Linked DNA regions of Anolis sagrei. Each later gene encodes a partner of the first gene's protein in a complex. Links are inferred from orthologs where the notes say so. Each region holds a gene or a part of one and is shown on either strand. Other genes may lie near its edges.

Region 1 (7,484 bases):
ATAAGGGTAGGAAACAGAGAGATATATGGTCATCTGTTGATCAGTAAATTGTGGCAAACGGTCCATCACATTACTGAATCATAGGACTTGTAACTCAGTTTTAAAGGTAATTAAGTTTACAAGTGTGAAATAATGGAGGTGTAAGAGGCATATATTTCAGAGATCAAATTACCTTCAGACACTTATTTCTACCCAACAAGCCTTAGTAGCTGTTACATTTAAAAATAGATTATTATAAAACCTGCAGGGTCCTTAGTTTTTTTGTTTTAATTTGATGTGCATAATTAAGGTGCTAACTACCTTTAGATTAATTAGCCTCTCTCCTGCAGCAATGTGAGAACCTGTAGAGCTAACATACACATATCACTCCTCAGCCTGCTTGAGTCAGAAACAGTTGGCTTAAGGCTACCAACCAAGGTACACCTGGGCAAATGAACTATTGAATGCAGGGAGGCTTGCCTCTGAGTAAAGACGCATGGAATTGTGTTACACTGATCCCTGAAATCACTGGGATTATGCCTGCAGTCCTATCCACATCTGTCCTTAAATCCAGTTGTTTTATATGTTGTCATCTGACTTATGATTATTTCCCCTGAAGGGTATGTAATATTGCAGACTCTGAAGTATGCCAGATTCACTTGCATGTCACAACCCACTTCTATCTATGTGTTTTTCAGTCATCTGCTGACTATATCTTTCTTCAGTCACAATTTTTATCAAATAATCCTTGCTTAATTTCACAGTACATTCTGCAGTGAAAGCGTATTGCTATTTGCATACCTGCCCATCATATATCTCCCAAACCACTAAGGCAGAGTTTCTCAACCTGGGGGTCGGGACCCCTGGGCCACCAAAGAAGGGTCACCAAAAACCATCAAAAATATAGTTTTTTTTCTGTTGGTCATGGGGGTTCGGAGTGGGAAGTTAGGCCCAATTTTATCATTGGTGGGAGGGTCACCATTGGTGGGAAGGGTCACCAAAGACTATCAAAAATATAGTTGTTTTCTGTTGGTCATGGGGGTTCGGAGTGGGAAGTTAGGCCCAATTCTATCATTGGTGGGAGTCAGAATGCTCTTTGATTGTAGGTGAACTAAAAATCCCAGCAACTACAGCTCCCAAATCTCAAGATCTATTTCCCCCATAATACAACAGTGTTCACATTTGGGCATATTGAGTATTCGTGCCAAGTTTGGTCCAGATCCATCATTGTTTGAGTCCACAGTGCTCTCTGGATGTAGGTGAACTACAATTCCAAAACTCAAGGTCAATGCCCAGGAAACCCTTTCTGTATTGGATGTGGGAGTTTTGTGTGCCAAGTATGATTAAATTCCATCATTGGTGGAGTTTAGAATGCTCTTTGTTTATAAATCCCAGCAACTACAACTCCCAAATGACAAAATCAATCTTCCCAAACCTCACCAGTATTCAAATGTGGGCATATCGGGTATTTGTGCCAAATGTGGATCAGTGAATGAAAATACATCCTGCATGTTAGATATTTACATTACGATTCATAACAGTAGAAAAATTACAGTTATGAAGTAGCAATGAAAAAAATGTTATGGTTGGGGGTCACCACAACATGAGGAACTGCATTAAGGGATTAGGAAGGTTGAGAAACACTGCTGTTGAACTATCATACACACATCAGTCCTTAGCCTGCTTTTGCCAGGAACAATTGGCTTAAGGCTGCAAACCAAGGTACACCTGGGTAAATAAACTATTGAATGCAGGGAGGCTTGCCTCTGAGTAAAGATGCATGGAATTGTATTAAACTGATCCCTGAAATCACTGGGATTAAGCCTGCAGACCTATCCACATCTGTCCTTAAATCCAGTTGGTTTATATGTTGTCATCTGACCTATGATTATTTCCCCTGAAGGGTATGTAATATTGCAGACTCTGAAGTATGCCACATTCACTTGCATGTCACAACCCACTTCTATCAATGTGTTTTTCAGTCATCTGCTGACCATATCTTTCTTCAGTCACAATTTTTATCAAATAATCCTAGCTTAATTTCACAGAACAATACATTCTGCAACACAAAGTGTATTGCTATTTGCGTATCTATCTTCTCTCTCTCTCAGACCACTAAGGCAACGTATCTGCAAGTGTACACTGAATAGTCTACTGAAGTATTAAAGTGGCCACTACATAATCAAATTAACATTTTCCCCGACTTGAGAATATTTATTATCAACCAGCTGGTTCTTCTGCATCGTTGATAATCCCAACTGATGGTATTAACTCATTTCTATTTTACTACCATGGCTTCTACAGAGAGATTTAAAGCATTTTCTATATCCCCCACAATTATTTCTGTCCTCTTCTTCTGTTTCTTTCAACAGAGTAGCTATAATGAGAGCAAGCGGAGGAGCACAAGCGAGAGAAAGTAACTTCTAATTATAGACCATTTGTGTGGAAGGATTCGAAGGCTCTGCCGATAACACACTTGGAACATTTCAGACGGCAGGACCTATGACCTTACCTTGGTAGCCAAGGAGAACGGAAATGAACGAGTGGGGACAGACCTCCTCCAGCACCGAGCAGAACGCGGACAGGGCACCGGGCCCTTTGCAAACCAGTTTCTCTAAAAAATAGGCAGCTTGCTTCTCGCAGCACTCCCGGGACAAAATGTCTTTGTACTCCTCCAAGGAAAAGACTCTCTCATAAACCAGATATGACAGCACTTTCTGCACATCCAGCTCTCTCACGATTCTCTCCCTGTGGTTGCTTAGGATATCAGCAAGCCACTGGTTCCTATCTGTGCTTTCTTTTTTGGTTGGTTTTGCACAGTTATAAAACCAAGACCGGACCGGCCACCTAAACATGTTTGCATTTAAAGCTAAAAATAAATAAAAAGAAAGGATTGCCGCTCTCTGTCAGACGCTTGCAGCCTTCCGGGGTCTATAGGCACGCCGTGGGAAGGCAAGGGGGTATCGCCTGCCGATAGATAGGGCAATTTGACTGGAAAAGCAGAGGCCTAGGTTCGAATTATAAAAGCACAAAAAGCAAAAGAAACTGCCACGCACAGTGCTTCCAGCTCCCTAAGAGGATTACTTTACACTAATTAGCCTTTTACAAGCGTTAATAGGCATCTCCACAACCACAAAAAGGCAGAGAGGAGAATAGCTGGGCTACTGTTCACTTTGTAATTCTCTAAACCGCTTCGCAACAAACAAAACGAGTCTATTGTAGAAAGTTACACTGAAGAAGACAGGATATCAAAGCACTTATCCATTGCAGGCAAGTATTAAAACAAGAAACAAGGGCACAGTTTTAAGTGGATACTAAGATTTCTGCCTTGTTGGGCTGGCCTCCCAAATAATACTGTGATAGTGATGGTCCCTTTTAAGTAGAATTGCACAAGTGATATACCCGTATATACTCGAGTATAAGCTGACCCGAATGTAAGCCTAGGCACCTAATTTTACCACAAAAAAACCTGGGAAAACGTATTGACTCGAGTATAAGCCGAGGTGGGAAATGCAGCAGCTACTGGTCAATTTCAAAATATAAATACCAATACAATTACATTAATTGAGGCATCAGAAGGTTAAATGTTTTTGAATATTTACATAAAAGTGTAATTTAAGATAAGACTGTCCAAGTTTGATTAATCCATTATTCTAACCTTCTGCTTATGTATTCTTCCGATAATAATAAAGAGAGTGAAATAATAAATGTAATAATAACAATAATAAAACAAAATAATAAATGTAATAATAAGAGTAAAATAATCAATGTAATAATAACAATAACAACAGAATTCAATAATAAATTATCTTGACTCAAGTATAAGCCGAGAGGGACTTTTTCAGCCTAAAAAAGGGCTGAAAAACTAGGCTTATACTCGAGTATTTACAGTATTTGTTCTTATGCATACATAAGCAGAAGGCCTAGGACTTGTTCTTCATGGGTGTGTACTGTTGGAAAAAGACATTTGTGAGGAGCAGGGAAATAGTCTAAATCTTTTTGGAAACTTGCATTTACAATGTTTAACACTGATTGTATCTTTTGTGATTCCAGAATTATTGGATGATTGTTTTTTTTAAAAAAAAAACTCTCATAAATAGCATCTACTTAATGAATTAGGATTAAGGGGAGAGATTCTGACAGCTTCAATGTAGGTGTACTGCCAGTAGTAATTATTCACTGAGGATCAAACTTGCGTAACAACCCTGCTTCACATATACCCATAGTATTTACTCGAGTCTAATATGCCATCGAATCTAATGTGAAGCTCAATTTTCAAAATTCTGAAACCAAGAAAAAAAAAAGTATTTGCTGCCGAATGTGATATGCAGTGGCAAAAAGTGTAGTTTTTGTAATTTGGCCAAAAAAAAAAAAAAAGACATGCATTACTGTTGCTGACTGATTAGGATTCCTTCATTTATTTTATTTATTTACTTCTGGTATTTCTAACCCGTTCCTTCTCAGCCTCCAAAGAGGGATTCAGGACGGCTTACATTTGACAGCAATTCAATGCCACTACAAATAACACGGCATTACTGAACAAGGAACGTCTAAAGGATTATGAGAACGAGATCTGATTTCATTCAGGCGTAGATGATTATTTGTTGTATGTCTGTATATGTTATGTCTTATTTACTGTAATTGTTATTAATCGCACTGTAAACCGCATAGAGTCGCTGTATCAGGCTGATATATGCGGTATAAAAGAAAAGCAAATAAATAAATAAATAAATAAACACTTAAAACAATAAGTAAAACATCTCTTTTGGAAGTCATGCTTCCAAAAAGCCTGTGGAGATTCCTGGTTTCCCCAAAATTCCTCTCTCCTCGCTCATTTCATCTTAACAAACAACTTAGTGAGGTAGGCTAGGCAGGGAAGCAATGACTATCACAAGGTCACCAAGCCAACTTTGACGTGCGAAGAACCGTGTTTACACATCTGTTTCGACAGGCCTTTGATTTTTGATATTGCTGTTTTTAAATTGTTTTAAATTGTTTTTAAATTGTGTTAGATTTTAGCCTGTTCTTGTAAGCCGCTCTGAGCCCCAGGGGAGTGGCGGCACATAAATTTGAACAATAAATAAATAAAATAATCTAGCAACTTCCTGAACTTAAAAAAATAAGCAACATAATTTCATCTATGCTGACGATCATGCCATCACCAATGAAGCAGGGAGCTTTGAAATGATGATGATGATGATTATTATTATTAACTTTATTTGTACCCCGCTAGCATCTCCCGAAGGACTCGATGCGGCTTACATGGGTCGAAGCCCATGAAATGGTTGAACAGAAGCTCTCTGAAGCTTTGGGTGCTCTTACTACCTATTACAGGAAAAACCAGCTGACTCCTAATTCATCTAAAATGCAGATGTGTGCATTTCATCCAAAGAACAGACAAGCATCTCGAGCTCTGAGGATTATGTGGGAAGGAATCCTATTGTAGCACTGCAGCACAGGAACACCTCAGCAAGCAAGAGTCCAAAAGTGGCAGGTTAAAACCCAGAATCAGTGGCTGAGACCAGATGAGAAACTCCCTCCTGGGCACACAGAAGACTGGGAGACTTGGAAGGTGCTGAACAGGCTGCACTACTGCTCCCCTCAACTTTTCTGTCACTGGAGTACACGCCCCCCACATGGGAAGTTTAGTTCACAACCCTGTGTTTCTTTATCAGCTCCCTGCAAATAACTTGCTTCTATTCTTATCTCATTAGAGTTTTTAAACATTTTATCCTGTACATGTGGTCCGCCCACATGTGTCACTGTGATTGTGTTTATTTTTATTGTAATGTTATTTTGTTACTGTATTCATATGTTTTTTTCCATGTAATTTTGATGATGTTGCTTGTTGTTTATGTTTTGATTTTATTTTTGCTGTAATATGTTGTCTGGGCTTGGCCCCATGTAAGCCGCTCTGAGTCCCCATTGGGGAGATAGTGGCGGGTATGAATAAAGATTATTATTATTATTATTATTATTATTATTATCATCATCATCATCATCATCATAAGATGCAGCGCCAACCTTAAAAAATGGGGCCACAGAGTGGAGTCCAGGAGTGTGCAGAAGAGCAAACCACAGACAACTTACTATAATTCAGTCTGAGCCCTGCCACATGCACAATGGAGGACCTCCTTACAGCAACAGTAGAACCACTCCAAGTGGCCAGCTTCTGGTCAACCACAATTCAAGAGAGATATTGACAAGCTGGAATGTGTCCAGAGGAGAGCGACTAAAATGATAAAAGGTCTGGAGAACAAGCCCTATGAGCGGCTTACGGAGCTGGGCATGTTTAGCCTGAAGAAGAGAAGGCTGAGAGGAGATATGATAGCCATGTATAAATATGTGAGAGGAAGCCACAGGGAGGAGGAGGGAGCAAGCTTGTTTTCTGCTTCCTTGGAGACTAGGACGCGGAACAATGGCTTCAAACTACAAGAGAGGAGATTCCATCTGAACATGAGGAAGAACTTCCTGACTGTGAGAGCCGTTCAGCAGTGGAACTCTCTGCCCCGGAGTGTGGTGGAGGCTCCTTCTTTGGAAGCTTTTAAACAGAGGCTGGATGGCCATCTGTCAGGGGTGATTTGAATGCAGTGTTCCTGCTTCTTGGCAGGGGGTTGGACTGGATGGCCCATGAGGTCTCTTCCAACTCTTTGATTCTATGAAAGGAAATTTAGTATAATGCCAAGTTTTTAACTTTGTTTGTATTTTAAAATACATTATAACTGCACCCTCAATTCGCTTCTGACACGATAAATAAATAAGCAACAGGATGTATTTGTTTTTGAAGTAGTAAACTGTGATGTGTTATTTAAACATTTAAAAACTACAGGATGCATCACCACATACATACCTTGTGTTTTTGGAGAAAAATACACGGTGCCTAAAGTCTGTTTCTGGAGCAAAATTTTCTGAGATACTGCCATCTTGTGCTTGTCTCCAGATATGGCCATCTTCTATCTGAAGCAAAGTTTGTTAACTTGGAAGAACTTCACGAGAACCTGGAAATAATATTGATATATTAGGGGACAATTAGTGATTATGAGGACCTTCCGTCATACCATACCTCTGTACATTTGCAGATTGCCTTAATTGAAAGGTTCGGGCAAATGCATTTCTAAGTCTGTACTACTTTTCCACTTCCACCTTTGGAAGGTTTAGTGTGAAGATGTAAGATGGCCAAGCTATGTGTTCACATAAAACATTTTATCTCCCTCAGATAATGAGTAATATTGTAGAGCAAGCATGGGCAAACTTGGGCCTTCCAGGTGTTTTGGACTTCAACTCCCACAATTCCTAACAGCCTCAGGCCTCTTCCTGGAAGAGGCCTGGGGCTGTTAGGAATCGTGGGAGTTGAAGTCCAAAACATCTGGAAGGCCCAAGTTTGCCCATGCCTGAGGCACATCTGGTTATAAAACTATTATAATAGTTATTGTTGTGTTTCCAGATTTAAGGTGTATCCACTCGGTGAATGCAGGTAGACATCACTTGGCCAGCCATGACTCAAT
Region 2 (7,522 bases), on another chromosome or scaffold:
GCCTGCACTATTGGGCCTGTCATCCTCTTACTCAAGTCTAATTCGCACCTTAATTTTGGCAACATTATTTAGCCAAAGAAGATGAACATCAGACTCAAGTAAATATGGTAGTTTTGAACTGCATTAATTCTACAGTGTACAGAAAATAATAATAATAATCTCTCTATATAAAAATGCTTTGTGCATAATGAGTACCTTAAAAACAAAAGAACTAATGAACGAAATCACACCAAATTTGGCAACAAAACGTCTCACAACACAAGGAGTGACCATCACTCAAAAAATTATGATTTTGTCATTTGAGAGTTGTAGTTGTTGAGATTTATAGTTTCTAATATATGTAATTTCTTTACACTGATTTAGGATTGTTTGTACGCTCTCACCAACGCCCCATCTCTCCTATCTTGTTCATGCCTAGCATTATTTTTTTAAACTTTAATTACATTTGGCCCAGCCATAGGTGTAAATGTGTGTTGTATTACTGTCACTGTTTATTGCTTTTTTGTTTATGAGCTTTATTTTAATTGTTTTTATTGCTGTTGTTATTGCTTATATTGATGTATTGTGGGCTTGGCGTCATGTAAGCCACACCGAGTCCCTTGGGGAGATGGTAACGGGGTACAAATAAAGTTTATTATTTATTTTTTATGCTTGTGGGTAAACAGTATGTCTTGTTGCTTCTTTGTCAGTGTTGCTGTGGAGAGTGTCTGGTTTGCCTACTCTGGAATATGCAACATATCATAGTCCTTCTTTAGGGGTCCCTTTCAAATCTATGATACTATATCTGTGTGTGTGTGTGCAAATCATATCTATCTATCTATTAGGCCTGGGTAACAACGGAAAAATTTGTTCCTAAAATCGATTCGTTTCTTGGGGGTTTTTGCGTTTCGATATTTAAAAGAATTCCGAAATTTTTCTTTTAAAAAGTTCGATATTTACGAAATTTCGTAAATGTAAAAAAATTACGAAACATTAATGAAACAAATATGAAACAATAACGAATCGATTCCTTAATGGCGGACGCGACCGCGCAATACGCTAAAAAACCTCCAAATGGGACAGGGGGAACTTCTGAAGCTTCCCTCTCCCTCTGTTGTTGACTGTTGGTGTGATATTATAATTTTTTTTCACTAATTAAACAAAAAACAACGATAAAACTTGCCCCAGACGTGCGGAAATAATAACGAAACGACCTCAAACCGATAACGAAACGAATACATAACGAATCCGAAGCATTTATTAAACGAATTTAAAAATTCGTTTCGTTTTTAAGTTGCTCCAGAAGGATTCGTTATTGCTTCGTTATTAAAAAAAACGATTTTTTAACGAATTACGAATTAACGAAACCGCCCAGCCCTACTATCTATCTATCTATGGCTGGATGGCTCTTTGTCACGAGGGCTCTGATTACATTTTCTTGCCCTAGTGAAGAGAGTTGTACTGGATGGCCTTAAGTATTTCCTGTTGGTCCTGGGGGTTCTGTGTGGGAAGTTTATCCCAGTTCTGTCATTCATGGGGTTCATTCAGAATAGTCTTTGATTGTAGGTGAACTATAAAGCCCAGTAACTACAACTCCTAAATGCCAAGGTCTATTTTCCCCAAACTCCATCTGTGTTCTTATTTGGGCATATGGAATATTCGTGCCAAGTTTGGTCCAGATCCATCATTGTTTGTGCTCTCTGGATGGAGGTGAGCTACAACTCCCAAACTCAAAGTCAATGCCCCCTAAGTGCTGCTAGTATTTTCTGTTGGCCAAGGAAGTTCTGTGTGCCAAGTTTGGTTCAATTCCATTGTTGGTGGAGTTCAGAATGCGCTTTGATTGTAGGTGAACTATAAATCCCAGCAACTACAACTCCCAAATGACAAAATCATAATTTTTGGAGTGATGGTCACTTCTTGTGTTGTGAGACGTTTTGTTGCCAAATTTGGTGTGATTTCGTTCATTGGATTTTTTGTTTTTAAGGAACTCATTATGCACAGAGCATGTGTGTGTGTGTGTGTGTGTGTGTGTGTGTGTGTATATATATATATATATATATATATAGAATAGATAGATAGAGATAGATAGATAGATAGATAGATGTGTGTGTGTATGATATATTACATTATATATTGTATTATAATTTTATTTATTTATTTGTCGTGCCAGGGCAACCAGTCAATTATATGACATTTCTATCAGAACAAAGCAAACAAACAGAAAAAATACAAAATTTGTGAGTTTGGGAGTTGATTAAATGTCCTATATTATATATTATTATTTGAAACACAACAAGATGAGTTCACAGCAGACACTCTGCTGGCTGTTGTATTGGATCACACGTCGGACACTTCCCAATTCCAGGCCCCTTCCACACAGCTGAATAAAATCCCATACTATCTGCTTTGAACTGGAATATATGGCAGTGTGGACTCAGAAAACCCAGTTCAAAGCAGATATTGTGGGATTTTCTGCCTTGATGCTCTGGGATATAGGGCAATGTGGAAGGGGATATTTGGGGGTGGCTGAAGTCTCTCTTCCAACAGAGTTCCCTCCAGATTTGAGGATTCTTCTCCTCCTCCAAAGAAACCCCTCACAAGACAGGAAAGAGAGCCTCCCTGATCTTTGGGGTGAGGGGAGAGGGTGGAGCTAAAGAGGGGACAGCGCCCCCTTTCCCACAGAGCAGGGCTCCCATGCCTCAATGCCCCCCAGACTTCTTTCTCCCCGGACTCACCGCCTTTTCCCCTCAAAGAGCGTCTCGAAGGAGCTCGGTCCCGCCGTCGCCGCCATCCCGCCTTCGGGGAGCCTCTTTTTGCCTCCTCCTCTTTTCCTCTCTGTTTCTCCTCAACGTGCAGAAGGCGAAAGCGACCCAGAGGGAGGCTGCACTCCCGCCCTCATGACATCCACCTCCGACAACCTCTGGCCCCTTTGGAGGGATCGCTTGCCTCATGACTGGCAACATTGGCGTGTCTGTGGGTTCGTGCAAAACGGCGCCAAACCGCCAAACCTTCCTCAGATGGAGGAGGAGGACTTTGGAAAGGAGTTTGAGAGATGCTTTCCTTCCCATTCACATTGCTTTGGCATGCTCAAGCGGGTTCCTCTCAGCTCCCACAAACAAAGCATTTGCATTTGCAAAAGACACGGATCTGCTTTCCTTTTTTGCAGGAATGGGACCCCTTCCAAACAGCTGAATCAAATCCCACATGGTTTGCTTTGAAGTGGGATATATGGCAGTGTGGACTCACTTGTTTGGAATCATAAAAGTTGGAAGAGACCTCATGGGCCATCCAGTCCAACCCCCTGCCAAGAAGCAGGAAAAATGCATTCAAAGCACCCCTGACAGATGGCCATCCAGCCTCTGTTTAAAAGATTCCAAAGAAGGAGCCTCCACCACACTCTGGGGCAGAGAGTTCCACAGCTGAACAGCTCTCACAGTCAGGAAGTTCTTCCTCATGTTCAGGTGGAATCAGAGGCGGCCCTAGGTAATTTTCAACGGTAAGCAAACAGTATTTTGCCCCCCCCCCCCAATCAATCATTGATATATATTTTCTGTTCGTCGTGGGAGTTCTTTGTGCCATATTTGGTTCAATTCCATCATTGGTGGAGTTCAGAATGCGCTTTGATTGTAGGTGAACTATACATTCCAGTAACTACACTTGCCGCACTTGCTCCCTTGCCTAGCCCGCTTTGGGTCCAGAGGCGTGCCTGAAGACCCCGGCGTGTGCACCAAAAGTCACCTCTTCTCCTGACTTTCTCCTCAGCCATTGGGACCGAGAGACAGAGACAGAGGTGGAGATGCCCACCTTTCCTGGAAGATAGGCGCAAAAACAAAGGAGGGAGCGGAGGTGGGAGATACCTCCAGCCAAAGGGGCTCTCTCTCTCTCTCTCTCTTGGTCCCAATGGCTGAAGAGAAAGTCAGGAGAAGAGGTGACTTTTGGTGCGCACGCTGGGGTCTTCAGACACGCCTCTGGACCCAAAGCGGGCCAGGCGTGGCGGCTCCGCCCCTTGGCCCACACGCGGATTGGGGAGAGGAGAGGAGAGGAGGCGAGTGGAGCGCCAGGGGATCGGGAAAGGGAGCTGGTCATGGGGAAGGGATCGAACGCAGAGAACGATTGAGCGCCGGCTCTGCTCGCACACCCAGTGGCTGGGTGGAGCAGGAATGAGAGGGGCTAGGCAAGGCTCAAGGGCCCGGCCCCTTTGGGAAGAGGATCCCCCGCAGTGAGGCAAGAAAACCGAGGCTCCCCCCCCCCCCCGGACTGCTAGGGCTGTTGTGAGCTGAGGGGGCGCTCCTCAAGTGGCGGTCAGGGGGCATTTACAGAGGCGCCTCTGCGCCCCTGGCAAAAAAAAGTGTTCTGCGACTGCTTACTTCGCGTAATGGACGAGCCTCCCCTGCGTCCAGTCCAACCCCCTGCCAAGAAGCAGGAAAAATGCATTCAAAGCACCCCCGACAGATGGCCATCCAGCCTGTTTAAAAGCTTCCAAAGAAGGAGCCTCCACCACACTCTAGGGCAGAGAGTTCCACTGCTAAACAGCTCTCACAGCCTGTGAACCATACAACACTCCAGAAAATTGGTTTTCTTTTTACTTTATGTTAAATGAAGCTACCTGTAAGCTGCTATGAGGAAATTTGCTAAACAAGAAGCTAAATCCTATTGTTGATATTGTGTAGAGTGTGCTCATTGAATCAACTGGATTTACCTATGTGTTGACCACCATTCAACAGTTCGTTCTGTGGGTTTACTAACAGGATTTCTACAAAGACGTTGAAATTGTGAGAGCTGATATCAAGCCAAGGACCTTTCAGGCACCTCTGGGACACTTGACCAGAAGATGTGGCTTAAAATCATAGAGTTGGGAGAGGCCACAGTCCAACCTCCTGCCAAGAAGCAGGAAAATTGCATTCAAAGCACCCCCGACAGATGGCCATCCAGCCTCTGTTTAAAAGCTTCCAAAGAAGGAGCCTCCACCACACTCTGGGGCAGAGAGTTCCACTGCTGAACAGCTCTCACAGCCTGAGAACCACACAACACTCCAGAAAACTGGTTTTCTTTTAACTTTATGTTAAATGAAGCTACCTGTAAGCTGCTATGAGGAAATTTGCTAAACAAGAAGCTAAATCCTATTGTTGATATTGTGTAGAGTGTACTCATTGAATCAACTGGATTTACCTATGTGTTGACCACCATTCAACAGTTTGTTCTGTAGGTTTACTAACAGGATTTCTATAAAGACATTGAAATTGTGAGAGCTGATATCAAGCAAGGACCTTTTAGGCACCTCTGGGACACTTGACCAGAAGATGTGGCTTAAAATCATAGAGTTGGGAGAGACCACAGTCCAACCCCCTGCCAAGAAGCAGGAAAATCGCATTCAAAGCACCCCTGACAGATGGCCATCCAGCCTCTGTTTAAAAGCTTCCAAAGAAGGAGACTCCACCACACTCTGGGGCAGAGAGTTCCACTGAACAGCTGTGAACAGCTCTCACAGTCAAGAAGTTCTCCACATGTTCAGATTGAATCTCCTTTCTTGTAGTTTGAAGCCATTGTTCCACTTCCTAGTCTCCAGAGCAGCAGAAAACAAGTTTGCTCCCTCCTCCCTATGACTTCCTCTCATTATTTATACATGGCTATCATGTCTCCTCTTAGCCTTCTCTTCTTCAGGCTAAACATGCCCAGCTCCTTAAGACGCTCCTCATAGGGTTTGTTCTCCGGACCCTTGACCATTTTAGTCGCCCTCTGGACACATTCCAGCTTGTCAATAAATCTCTTCAATTGTGATGCCCAGAATTGGACACAATATTCCAGGTGTGGTCTAACCAAGGCGGAATAGAGGGGTAGCATGACTTCCCTGGATCTAGACACATGATTTCCTTTGAACTGGAATATATGGCAGTGTGGACTCACTTGTTTGGAAAGAACTTTGTAGGAAAAACAACAACTTCAAAACGTATTTGAGCTACAATGTCAAATACGATCAAAAAGTATACCCAGGAAAAAATATTGTCGAAGACTTTCATGGCTGGAAACACTGGGCTGTTGTAGGTTTTTCGGACTATATGGCCATGTTCTAGAAGCATTCTCTTCTGACATTTCGCTGCAACCGTACCTCACAAAGGTTGATTTGGCTGGGGTGGTCCATGCCTTGGTCACCTCTAGATTGGATTACTGTAATGCGCTCTATGTGGGGCTGCCCTTGAAAACGGCTCGGAAATTCCAACTGGTATAACGGGCGGCGGCCAGGATGTTAACTGGCGCTCCTTACAGGGAGAGGTCAACCCTTCTGTTTAGGGAACTCCATTGGCTGCTGTTTACTTACCGAGCCCAATTCAAGTTGCAGGTGCTTACCTACAAAGCCCTAAACAGTTTGGGACCTGCCTACCTGCGTGACCGCATCTCCGTGTATGAACCCACGCGATCCCTTCGTTCATCTGGAGAGGCCCTGCTTTTGGTGGGGCCGAGGGACAGGGCCTTCTCTGTGGTTGCCCCCCGACTCTGGAACACCCTCCCCAAAGACATTAGACTAACTAGCACCCACGTCGGCAGTCTTCAGGAAGAATCTGAAGACCTGGCTATTCCGATGTGCCTTTCCGGATTAGGATAATCTCCAGCACTACCTCCCAGAAGCACTTTATTAGAGTTTAAGACTCTCTGCACATTGCACTTGCCCGGAAATCCAACATACCGCCTGCCACACCCAGCACTTTTTAACCTGTACCCATCACTGGCCTGGCCCTGGTTTTTATTGCGTAATTGATATATTGTTTTTTATTGCTTATGTTTTTATGTTGCTTTAAATTGTATTGTTATTGTTTGCTGTTGTTGTGTTGAGGCCTTGGCCTTTGTAAGCCGCATCGAGTCCTGCGGGAGATGCTAGCGGGGTACAAATAAAGTTTAATAATAATAATAATAATAATAATAATAATAATAATCTGTGGCAAGCATCCTCAGAGGTTGTGAGGTCTGTAGGAAATACGAAAATTGGGTTTATATATCTACTAGCTGTACCTGCCAGGCGTTGCTGCGACCAGCCTTTTCTCCCTCTTTCTCATTTCTTTCTTTCTTTCTTTCTTTCTTTTGCTTTCCTTCCTTTTTTCTTTCCTTCTCTCCCTCTTCCTCCCCCCCCTTCTTTCCCTTCCTCTTTCTCCTCTTTCTTCCTTCTCTCTACCTATTCTTGGACTGCAACTCCCAGCAGTACTGATCAATCAATCTATCTATCTACCTACTTACCTACCTACCTATGTCTATCTAATGTATCTATCTGGAGGATTGCTGGGAGTTGCAGTCCAGGAATGGGAAATATGCAGGGATTGGGATGCTCTCAAAGAAATCCAAGGAGAAGAAAGCTCGCAGCTTGGAAGGAGTGCATTTGGACCATCTTCCTCTCCTAAAGGGCCTGGTCTGGGGAATACTGGGAGCTGTAGTCTGGAAGTAAGTATGGATATGTTATTGTGTGTTTTGATTGCTAGGGAGTTGTTTTGGCTATACCTGCCAGGCGTTGCTGTGACCAGCCTTCCCTCCCTCTTTCTCTTTTCTTTCTTTCTTT

Evidence for each region.
Region 2: the proteins of TJP1 (region 1) and GJC1 are in contact, whole or in part, in a crystal structure (PDB 3SHW), measured with the Homo sapiens proteins. The link is inferred for Anolis sagrei from reciprocal best matches to the Homo sapiens genes TJP1 and GJC1. Residues at the interface, in NP_003248.3 of Homo sapiens: Lys429, Ser432, Val433, Gly434, Leu435, Arg436, Leu437, Gly449, Val450, Leu451, Val484, Leu487, Leu488, Leu549, Asn551, Gly552, Lys553; in NP_001073852.1 of Homo sapiens: Lys391, Thr392, Ser393, Val394, Trp395, Ile396.

What each region holds. Positions count from the first base shown.
Region 1 is NC_090029.1:6,538,389-6,545,872, forward strand, and holds the start of TJP1 (tight junction protein ZO-1), read right to left. Parts: upstream 3,005-7,484; 5' UTR 2,835-3,004; coding exon 2,492-2,834; exon of another isoform or gene 2,352-2,491; intron 1-2,351. UniProt on the Homo sapiens protein: TJP1, TJP2, and TJP3 are closely related scaffolding proteins that link tight junction (TJ) transmembrane proteins such as claudins, junctional adhesion molecules, and occludin to the actin cytoskeleton.
Region 2 is NC_090026.1:47,648,874-47,656,395, reverse strand, and holds the start of GJC1 (gap junction gamma-1 protein), read right to left. Parts: upstream 3,009-7,522; 5' UTR 2,715-3,008; intron 1-2,714. UniProt on the Homo sapiens protein: One gap junction consists of a cluster of closely packed pairs of transmembrane channels, the connexons, through which materials of low MW diffuse from one cell to a neighboring cell.